Linked DNA regions of Oryctolagus cuniculus. The protein of the gene in region 1 binds, or shares a complex with, the protein of each later gene. Links are inferred from orthologs where the notes say so. Each region holds a gene or a part of one and is shown in the gene's direction. Other genes may lie near its edges. The genes, in order: RNASEH2A and RNASEH2C.

Region 1 (4,513 bases):
TTCCTTTGCTGTTGGTTCACCCTCCAATGGCCGCTGCGGCCAGCGCACTGTGCTGATCCAAAGCCAGGAGCCAGGTGCTTCTCCTGGTCTCCCATGGGGTGCAGGGGCCCAAGCACTTGGGCCATCCTCCACTGCCTTCCTGGGCCACAGCAGAGAGCTGGCCTGGAAGAGGGGCAACCGGGACAGAATCTGGCGCCCCAACCGGGACTAAAACCCAGTGTGCCGGCGCCGCAGGCAGAGGATTAGCCTAGTGAGCCGCGGCGCCGGCCACCACTCTTGAGTTTGGCTTCCTGCTACTGCAGGCCCTGGGAGGCAGCGGTACCAGTTGAAGCGACTGGGTCCCTGGCCCCCATGTGGGACATCCTGGTTGCATTCTGTGTTCCCAGCATCAGCCCTGCCCAGTCCTGGCCAGTGTGGGCAGCTGGAGAGTGAACCAGTCCTTGGGAGCATGTTCCCATGTTTCTCTCTCTGTCTCTGTCTCTCAGGTGCACCTGTATCAGTTTCCAGCCAGGTTCCTGTCCTTAGCAGGTGCCCCATGCCCACACAGTCCAGCCCCCATCCCCCAAGCTCCGTGTCCTGGACCCATCCCGCCTCCGTGCACCGTGCACAGCCTCTAACATGGCTCAGGGCATTGCCTCCTCCGCCTCTCTCTCCCCTCCCCCACCCTGGACACCTGCCCTGTTTCCTTGGTTCCTCCCCCCCCCCCCCAGACTCCAAACCCCTCCCCTGGAGCCTGCTCCCCACGCAGCAGAAGGTTTGCCTTTGCAAAATGTAAATCTCGACATTCAATTTCACCAGCCCGGTGGCACCAATTCACGCAGCCTCGGTAGGGGTGGGGGTGGGGGTGGGGGTGAGGGGAGAAGAAAAGAATGAGATAAAATTACGGTCACGGCCGTCTCGACGCTTGCTCCAGGGCAGAGCGCAGGCTGTTGGGAGAGAACAAGAGGGAGGTGGGCTCAAACCGGCACTGAGAGAGGTGTTGCCAGCATGGTTAGGGTCTGTTTATCCTGCTGTGCCCCAGCACCCGCCACAGCCAGGGTAATCTCTGGACTCAGGAAGTGCTGGGGCCGGTGGCTGGCACTGTGGGCTAGGCAGCTGACCCGGCATCCCCTGGAACAGAGCTGATTCGAACCCTGACTGGCCAGCTTCCAATCCAGCTCCCTGCTAATGCCCCTGGGAGGCAGCAGGTGAAGGGGTCAAGGTACTCCGGCCCCTGCCTCCCGCATGGGAGACTCGGATGGAGTTCTGGGCTCTTGGCTTCAGTCGTGGCCAGAGCAGCCTTTTGGGGAGTGAATCAGCGGACGAAAATCCCTCTCTCTCTCTCTCTCTCTCTCTCTCTCTCTCTCTGGCTGGCACTCAATTAAGTAAATCAATCAATCAATCAGAACAAAAACCAACAAGGGCTTGAGCCAATGAGGGAAAGTGTCTTTGGGCGGTGCCCCCTCCCATGGAGGAGTGTGCCCCCTTAGCCGCAGCAGGTGCCAAGGGCCGCGGGAGGCGGGGCCGGGGGTCGCTGCGCCCGAGGGTCACCGAGTGGAATCCGCATTCCGGGGCAGGTGTTTGTGGACACCGTGGGGCTGCCGGAGACGTACCAGAAGCGGCTGCAGGACTGCTTTCCAGGCATTGAGGTGACGGTGAAGGCCAAGGCGGACGCCCTCTACCCGGTGGTCAGCGCCGCCAGCATCTGTGCCAAGGTGGTGCCCTGCCCCGCCTCAGCCATGCCCCGCCCCGCCCCAGCTCTCAGCGGGCCCTGCCCCCAGCTCCACCCCACCCCACCGTGCCCCGCCCCAGCTCTCAGCATGCCCCGCCCCCATACCTGCCCACCCCACCCCTAGCTCTCAGCTGCCCCATCCTCAGCTCCACCCCACCCCAGCTCCCAGAGGGCCCCCCCAGGCCCTGCCCCCAACCCAGCTCAGCTTCCCTGTGTCCCATCCCTAGCTCCCACTGTGCCTGTCCCAGCCCTGCCCCACCCCACCCACAGCCCTGCCCTGCCTCCGCCCTGCCCACAGCCCCACCCTGCCCGGGCCAGCGGGTGGGGTTCCTGGCTTGCAGGCCCGCAGAGGCTGGAGGTGCCAGGACCACACACACACACACACACACACACCCCACTCGCCCCACAGGTGGCCCGCGATCAGGCTGTGAGGGACTGGAGGTTCGTCGAAGAGCTTCAGGACCTGGATACCGATTACGGCTCAGGCTACCCCAATGGTGAGCGGCTGTTCCTGGGACCGTGGTTAGGATCGAGGCAGGGGCCACGGCCAGGGCTGAGCAGGCCCCTAAGGTCTTCCAGATGTCCTGGCTCACCCTGGTCCACGGTGGGAGAAGCGGGGTCCCAGGCAGCCCCAGGCACTTGGAGGGGCAGAGTGGGAACCCACCCCTCCCTCCTGCATTTCTCCTCCTTGGTCACTGGGTGCTTCCCATTGTGAAAGGTAGAATGGCGGAGAGAGGGAGAGGGAGATCCCCAGATGGCCGCAACGGGCAGGACCAGGCCAGGCCACAGCCAGGAGCCAGGAACTCCATCTGGGGCTCCTCCCACATGGGGGCAGGGATCCAAGCACCTGAGCTATCTCAGGAGACCTTCCCAGGGGCATTAGCAGGGAGCTGAACTGCTTCACTCCCCAAATGCCTGCTATGACTGGGGCTGGGTCCCGGGCCCCACCAGAGCTCTGAGCCTGGAACTCAGCCTGGGTCTGTGTGGGCAGCTTCGATGCTGTCGTGACCGCCAGGCCCCCCGCCTACTCTGTCCCTCCCACTTGTCCCCCAAGCCAGAATGAGCCGGGCTGGCTCCTTCCCAGGGGCCTCAGCTTTGATTTCTTTGTTGTTACTACAACTCGGGGCTCAGTGTTCCTGTCTGCAGAATGGGAACGCTCCATCGTGCACGCCCGAAGCTACTTGCACACACACACACACACACACACAGCAGATGGAAGATTCCAGGTTCAAGGAAGGCTCTGAGCTTTGGAAACCCGGGAAGGGGGCTGGCCGCTGGGTGAGGCTGTGATTGGAGCTCAGATGAGGCTGAGAACAATCGTGGCAACATTCCTTGTTTTTGGAGTTTCTATCCCTGCTGGGCAGGCCTGAGCCCCGGGCCGGGAGGGGCGGGGGGTACAGCAGCCAGCAAGACGAAACACATGTCTGTCTGTCATCCACCGAGCTGGTGGCGGTGCACTGGAGGCTGGGGGGGTGCCGGTTTTACCGTGGTCGGCCCTGGGGGTCCTGGGGAAGTAGCTCCCAAGGTCCCCAGGCCAGGGAGGTGTCCTTAGGATGCCACGAGGAGGAGCTTGGATGTCGCCGTGCCGGCCAGGCTTGTCACCACGGCTCTCCCCCTCCCCACCAGATCCCAAGACGAAAGCGTGGTTGAAGAAGTACGTGGAGCCGGTGTTCGGCTTCCCCCAGTTCGTGCGATTCAGCTGGCGCACGGCCCAGACCATCTTGGAGAAGGAGGCGGAAGGCGTAACGTGGTGGGTGTCCCTCGGTGCTACGGAGAGGGAGGGCGCGGGGCTGGGCCTGGAACTGGCCTGGGAGGCCCGCTCTTCCCCCCACCCCCACGCCACCCCTTGCCGGCAGCGGTCAGTGTGGCCAGCTCTGTCCCCTCCAGGGAGGACACGCCCACCGAGGACCAGGATGGAGCCGGAAGGATCACGTCCTACTTCCTCCACGAAGGCCCCCGAGCCCGCCCCCGCCTCCCCCACCGATACTTCCAGGAGCGGGGCTTGGAGGCAGCCAGCACCCTCTAGAAGGCAGCCCTTAATCTGCCTCTCCCCGCCACCGCCCTCCACACTGAGTAAAGTTGTCTAAGAATAACCAAGCCTCGTGGTTGTGCTCTGGGGGCGGAGGCAGGGGTAGGAGCCTGCCCGTGTGTGGTCCCGGGCACTTCTGCCTTTCGGAACCTAAACAGAACGAGACGTGGGTCCATTTGCTTTCCTTTTTCAATAGGTTCTCTTCCTCTGCTTATGCAAATGGCGGAGCGGTGTGGGCTAGGGGGAGCCTCGTACATCTCCTGGCTTGCACCAGGGAGCCGTTGTCAGCTGACCTGCGTGAGCCCTCCAGGCCCGGCTGGGTCACACCGAGGCAGGAAATCGCACTTTGAGATGCCCCTGTCATTACGTCCCGCGTGACTGACCCTGACGTGTTCCAAGACTCTGATTTGAAGGCAGAGTCACAGAGAGGCCCTCTACCCGCCACCCAGTTCACTCCCCACACAGTTGCTCGCAACTGCTGCAGCTGGGCCAGGCCAAAGCCAGGAGCCAGGTGCTCCCTCCCTGGAGTCCCCAACATGGGTGGCAAGGACCTGAGCTCTCAGGCCGTCTCCTGATGCTCTCCCAGCACACAGCACGGGCAGAGCATCGCATGTGGGGGCCCGACATGTGGGCCCAGAGCAGCAGTGTGTCGTTAGGATGCCCACGAGCCTCTGGGGAGGACCTCGGTTCAGGTCCCAGCTGTGTTGCTGACTGCAGCTTCCTGCTGGGGGAGACCCCGGGAGGCAGCGCTCGGGGGCCCTGCCACCCACAGT
Region 2 (4,314 bases), on another chromosome or scaffold:
AGGCGCAGTGGGCTTGAAAAGTCAGCTTTGTAACCTGAAGGAATTAAACCACCCAGGCAGTGGCCACCCACGGCTGAGAGCCGCGAGGTCCCTCCGGGCAGACAGCAACGCCCCCAGTCTCGCTGCAGCGCGCCCTCCCGAGGAGCCCAGCGGAACTTCTAGACCCACTTCCTGATTCACCAAAATGCAGAGGCCCATGAACGTGACATCACAGAACCCAGGCAGCGGGAACCTAACAGGACCAAAGCTATCAAGACAGATCCAACGATCTGTTCCCGATTTAAAAAGAAACCCTGGGCCGGTGCTGCGGCCCAGGTTAAAGCTGCCGCCTGCAGTGCCGCCATCCCACATGGGCACTGGTTCAAGTCCCGGCTGCTCCACTTCCGATGCATCTCTCTGCTGTGGCCTGGGAAAGCAGTAGATGGTCCAAGTCCCTGGGCCCCTGCACCCGTGTGGGAGACCCGGAAGAGCTCCTGGCTCCAGATCAGCCCAGCTCTGGCCATTGAGACCATTGGGGAGTGACCCAGCGGACGGAAGACCCGTGTGTGTGTGTGTGTGTGTGTAACTCTTTCAAGTAAAAATAAATAAATCTTTTAAAAAAGAAAAGAAATTGCAAGATGGAACGAAGCAGCACAGTTATCTGTATTTGAGAGAGAGATGACTAACTGGGGGAAACCAAGAAAATAAACTATTGGGAACAGCAAAATAATTTATCAAAAAAAAAAATTAGTAAGTATCTGGCCCCTGGGGACAGGGGCCGCGTTCTTTAAAAGGTCATGGAAATGTGTATTATGAAAAGAAAATGCATGGGTTTCAAAGCTGCACCAGGAATAACCTTTGTTTTTGAAAATCAGAGTCACAGGCAGGGCGAGGCAGAGAGAGAGAGAGACTTCCATCCGCTGGTTCACTCCCCAAATGGCTGCATTTGAAGCCAGGGGCTTCTTCCAGGTCTCTCACGCGGGTGCAGGGCCCGGCACTTGTGTCATCTCCACTGCGGTCCCAGCGCATCAACAGGGAGCCGGACTGGAAGCGGAGCAGCCGGGACTCGAACCGGCGCCCACGCGGGATGCGGCACTGCGGGCGGCCGCCTTATCCGCGGCCCTGACCCCTCATCTTCACTTCCATTTTCCAGCGCCCGCTCTGCACGCCCCACAGCCGCCCCGTCTGCGAGCGCACCGCTTGTGCCCGCAGGGTCCGATTGCGCAGGCGCGTGGGCGTCTCCCGCGTGCGTCTGCGGTTTGCACGACGAATCTAGAACGCGGCGGGCCCAGAGGCGGCGGCAGCGGCCGCTCCATCACGCACCGCGGGTGTCGGCGTCCCGGACACAGCCCAAGCAGGGCCTCCCCCAGGCGGGGTGAGGCCCACGGCCCCGCGCGGACAGGGCCACGGCGGGCGGCCCCATCGCTGCGGGAACGCTGCGGCGCGGCCCGGTCCCCGCCGCCACAGCCGCTGCCCTGGGGCGCCGCTTCTGTTACTCTCCACGGCCAGCTCGCGGGTCCCGCGGGGGCGCCGCGCACACGGCCGGTCGCGTGCGCGCGTGTTTGCCCGCAGAGCCCGCCCTGTTGCGTGACTGAACCACCCGGGACTTTCCGCGGAGGGGCGGGGCTTGCGGGCGGGATCCCGGAAGGACTACATTTCCCGTGACGCTCCGCGGCGCCCGACCTCCCGAGAGGCCCCGCGCGCTTTACGCGCCAGCTTCGGCCTCCGCCCGCGAGCGACGGACTAGCGGCGCGGAATGGAGGGCGCGGGCGAGGCGGCCGTGGAGGGGCACCGCGTGCACCTGCGCCCCGACTCCCTGCGCGGCGCGGCCCCCGGCACGCTGCACCTGCTGCCCTGCGAGGTCCTGGCGAGCCGGCCCGCCCCCGTGCGTCGCTTCTTCACGCCCGCCGTCCGCCGAGGCCCCGACGGTGAGCTGGCGGCCGCCTCCCCGCGGCTCCCCGGCGCGCGCTGCGAGGGCGCCTGGAGCCCTAGTCCCGGCGGCGGGGGCGGCGGGGTCGTGGGCCAGCTGCGCCGGGCCCGGGTGTCCCTGAGCGGGCCCTGCGCCTCCCTCCTGCAGGACTCCAGGCGTCGTTTCGGGGACGCGGCCTGCGGGGCGAGGAGGTGGCGGTGCCGGCCGGCTTCGCGGGCTACGTCCTGGCGGCCGAGAAGGCAGACGGGCGGCCGGGGTCCGGGGACGCGGAGCGGGCGCCGCTGGAGCGGGACTTGGTGAGCCACGGCGGGCCCGGGGCGGGCGCGGCGGCGGGGCCGGGCTGAGCCGCCTCCCTCCCTCCCTCCCCAGGACCGCTTTCTGGGCGCCACCGCCAGCTTCGGCCGCTTCACGCTGTGGGGCCTGGAGACCGTGCCGGGCCCGGACGCCAAAGTGCGCGGGGCCCTGACTTGGCCGAGCCTCGCGGCCGCGGTGAGTGCACGGGCGGGGTCGCTGCGGCGCGGGGCCCCCCACGCCGGACGGGGTCAGTGGGGGCGGCCGGGCCCCCGCACGGTTACAGGCGGCTCCTCTTGCAGATTCACGCTCAGGTGGCGGAGGACTGAGAGCCGGAGCCCGTCCCCACCTGCCGACCAGTACGCCCCGCACCGCAGCTGTGCAGAACCCTGGAGGCTCCGCCTACGGAAACGATTTATTGCCTGGTGCGGGGGCCGCAGCCAGGGCCACCCCACCCCCACCTTCTACTTTACAAAAGCCATTTTTACAGTGAAAGTGTCCTGTACAGTTGCCCCCAGCCCCTGCGCACTGCACAAGCCGCCCGGCTCCTCCTGGTCCCTGGTCAGGGCAGGCCGGGCCCGCAGCCAGCTCAGCCTGGGCGCTGACCCGAGCCCTCGGCGGGCCTGGGCACTGACCCGTGGCCCCTGCGGGCCCAGCCCCGTCTGGCGCTGCCCTGCGCGCCTCGCGCGCTGTGCCTGCTGGGGGCGCCGGGTCCCGTGCTCGCCGGCCCCGCGCCCGGAGGCCCGGTCACCACTTCCCCCGCTTGCTCCAGTCCTTGGGGGTGAAGTGCAGACACTTGGAGTCGATGCGCAGCAGCCGCTTCAGCATTGCCCGCTCGTGTCCGTCCACGATGTCCTCGGACAGCGTGAGGATGTACTGGCCCTGGGCGAGAGAGGGCCCGGCAGGGGTCAGCGCCCGGCCCGCACCGGCTTCCCGACTGCCCGGCCCTGGCCGCCCGCCCCACCTTGTAGTAGTTGATGAGGTTGAGGTACTGCAGCGTGGAGATGACGTCCTCCTTCTTGATGCTGGTGATCTCGCTGATCTCACTGCGGGAGGGCAAAGGTCAGGTCTCCCGCGGCCCGGGGCGGGGACAGCCACGCACCCCCGGGGGCGGCCGGCTCACTTGATGGTGATCTGCGGCCGCTCCCCACTCTCGGACTTGAGCCCCATCAGGATCTCCAGGATGGTCTGGGACCAGTAACTGCGATAGGACAGCAGGCCCAGGTCCGACAGGGGCTTCTCTGGGGTCCCCGTTCTCCCTTCCACCTTGGAGAGCTCATAGCCTGGAGCAGGGGAGCAGGAGAGGTGGGTAAGCGGTCAGACAGTGGCATCGCAGCGGGCACATCCTGCAGCAGGGGGCCGGGCCGGACGCCCACTGCTCCACCCGCTAACCTGCAGCCTGGCAGTGCAGGCGGACCAGGGACCTGGGGCCCTGCCGCCCAGTGGGGCCCTGCGGAGCTCCAGGCTGCTGGCTTCAGCCTGGCCCGGCCCTGCCTGCTGTGGGCAACTGGGGAGTGAACCCCTGACCAGACCTGTCTCTGCCTTTCAAATAAAATGAAAAGCATTTAAGAATTAGAGCCACGTGGCTTCTCTGCCCACCACCTGAAGGCGCTCGCCCTTGGCCTGGGTGCTGGGGGGGGCACCTGCAGTCAGCCGAGGCTGGGGGGGTGCCCATGTCCTTGGCCGTTGCTGTGTGGGTGCAGAGGGAGGCAGGGCAGACCCCGCCCTCTGTCCGTCACATTCTGGCTGGGACCTCGGGCTCGCCAGCTGCTCTGGGATGGAGCGGGCTGCGTGGTGGTGAGGAAGGAGCTTCACCAAGCGCTTCCCAGCTGGAGAGAGGCCTCCCTGCCCCTGCCCTCCTCCAGCTGACCACGAGAAGTTAGCTCCTCGCAAGCCCCTTTGGCCCCACCAGACCCCGAGGGGCAAGGCCCTGGGCCGGTCGCGCTTGTCTGCTCTCCTGCCCCTGCTGCACACTGGCCAGTCCCAGCGTCCACCCTGACCTGCTGTGCCTGCAAGGACCACGGAGGGGGTGGGCACCCTTGGGTTCCTGCTCAGCTGTGCGGGTTCATGCCACAGCCGTGGGCAGCAGCAGGTCAGCCAGATCTGGGAGAGTG

What was found.
Region 2: the proteins of RNASEH2A (region 1) and RNASEH2C are in contact, whole or in part, in a crystal structure (PDB 3PUF), measured with the Homo sapiens proteins. The link is inferred for Oryctolagus cuniculus from reciprocal best matches to the Homo sapiens genes RNASEH2A and RNASEH2C. Residues at the interface, in NP_006388.2 of Homo sapiens: Thr11, Asn99, Ser102, Thr103, Leu106, Gly107, Arg108, Val109, Val196, Glu197, Lys198, Leu199, Glu225, Pro226, Val227, Phe228, Gly229, Phe230, Pro231, Gln232, Phe236, Leu245, Ala249, Glu250, Asp251, Val252, Ile253, Trp254, Glu255, Asp256; in NP_115569.2 of Homo sapiens: Pro33, Cys34, Glu35, Val36, Ala37, Val38, Ala42, Pro43, Val44, Gly45, Arg46, Phe47, Phe48, Pro50, Ala51, Arg53, Ser62, Phe63, Arg64, Gly65, Arg66, Cys67, Leu68, Leu134, Glu135, Thr136, Lys143, Gly146, Ala147, Thr149.

What each region holds. Positions count from the first base shown.
Region 1 is NC_091447.1:62,322,241-62,326,753, forward strand, and holds the end of RNASEH2A (ribonuclease H2 subunit A), read left to right. Parts: intron 1-1,556; coding exon 1,557-1,694; intron 1,695-2,120; coding exon 2,121-2,208; intron 2,209-3,337; coding exon 3,338-3,461; intron 3,462-3,598; coding exon 3,599-3,737; 3' UTR 3,738-3,804; downstream 3,805-4,513. UniProt on the Homo sapiens protein: Catalytic subunit of RNase HII, an endonuclease that specifically degrades the RNA of RNA:DNA hybrids. Participates in DNA replication, possibly by mediating the removal of lagging-strand Okazaki fragment RNA primers during DNA replication.
Region 2 is NC_091432.1:5,998,301-6,002,614, forward strand, and holds RNASEH2C (ribonuclease H2 subunit C), read left to right. Parts: upstream 1-1,474; 5' UTR 1,475-1,735; coding exon 1,736-1,907; intron 1,908-2,056; coding exon 2,057-2,205; intron 2,206-2,278; coding exon 2,279-2,398; intron 2,399-2,502; coding exon 2,503-2,529; 3' UTR 2,530-2,789; coding exon of another isoform or gene 2,790-3,246; 3' UTR 3,247-3,323; coding exon of another isoform or gene 3,324-3,483; 3' UTR 3,484-3,777; downstream 3,778-4,314. Other genes in the region: histone acetyltransferase KAT5, read right to left, coding at 2,790-3,246, 3,324-3,483.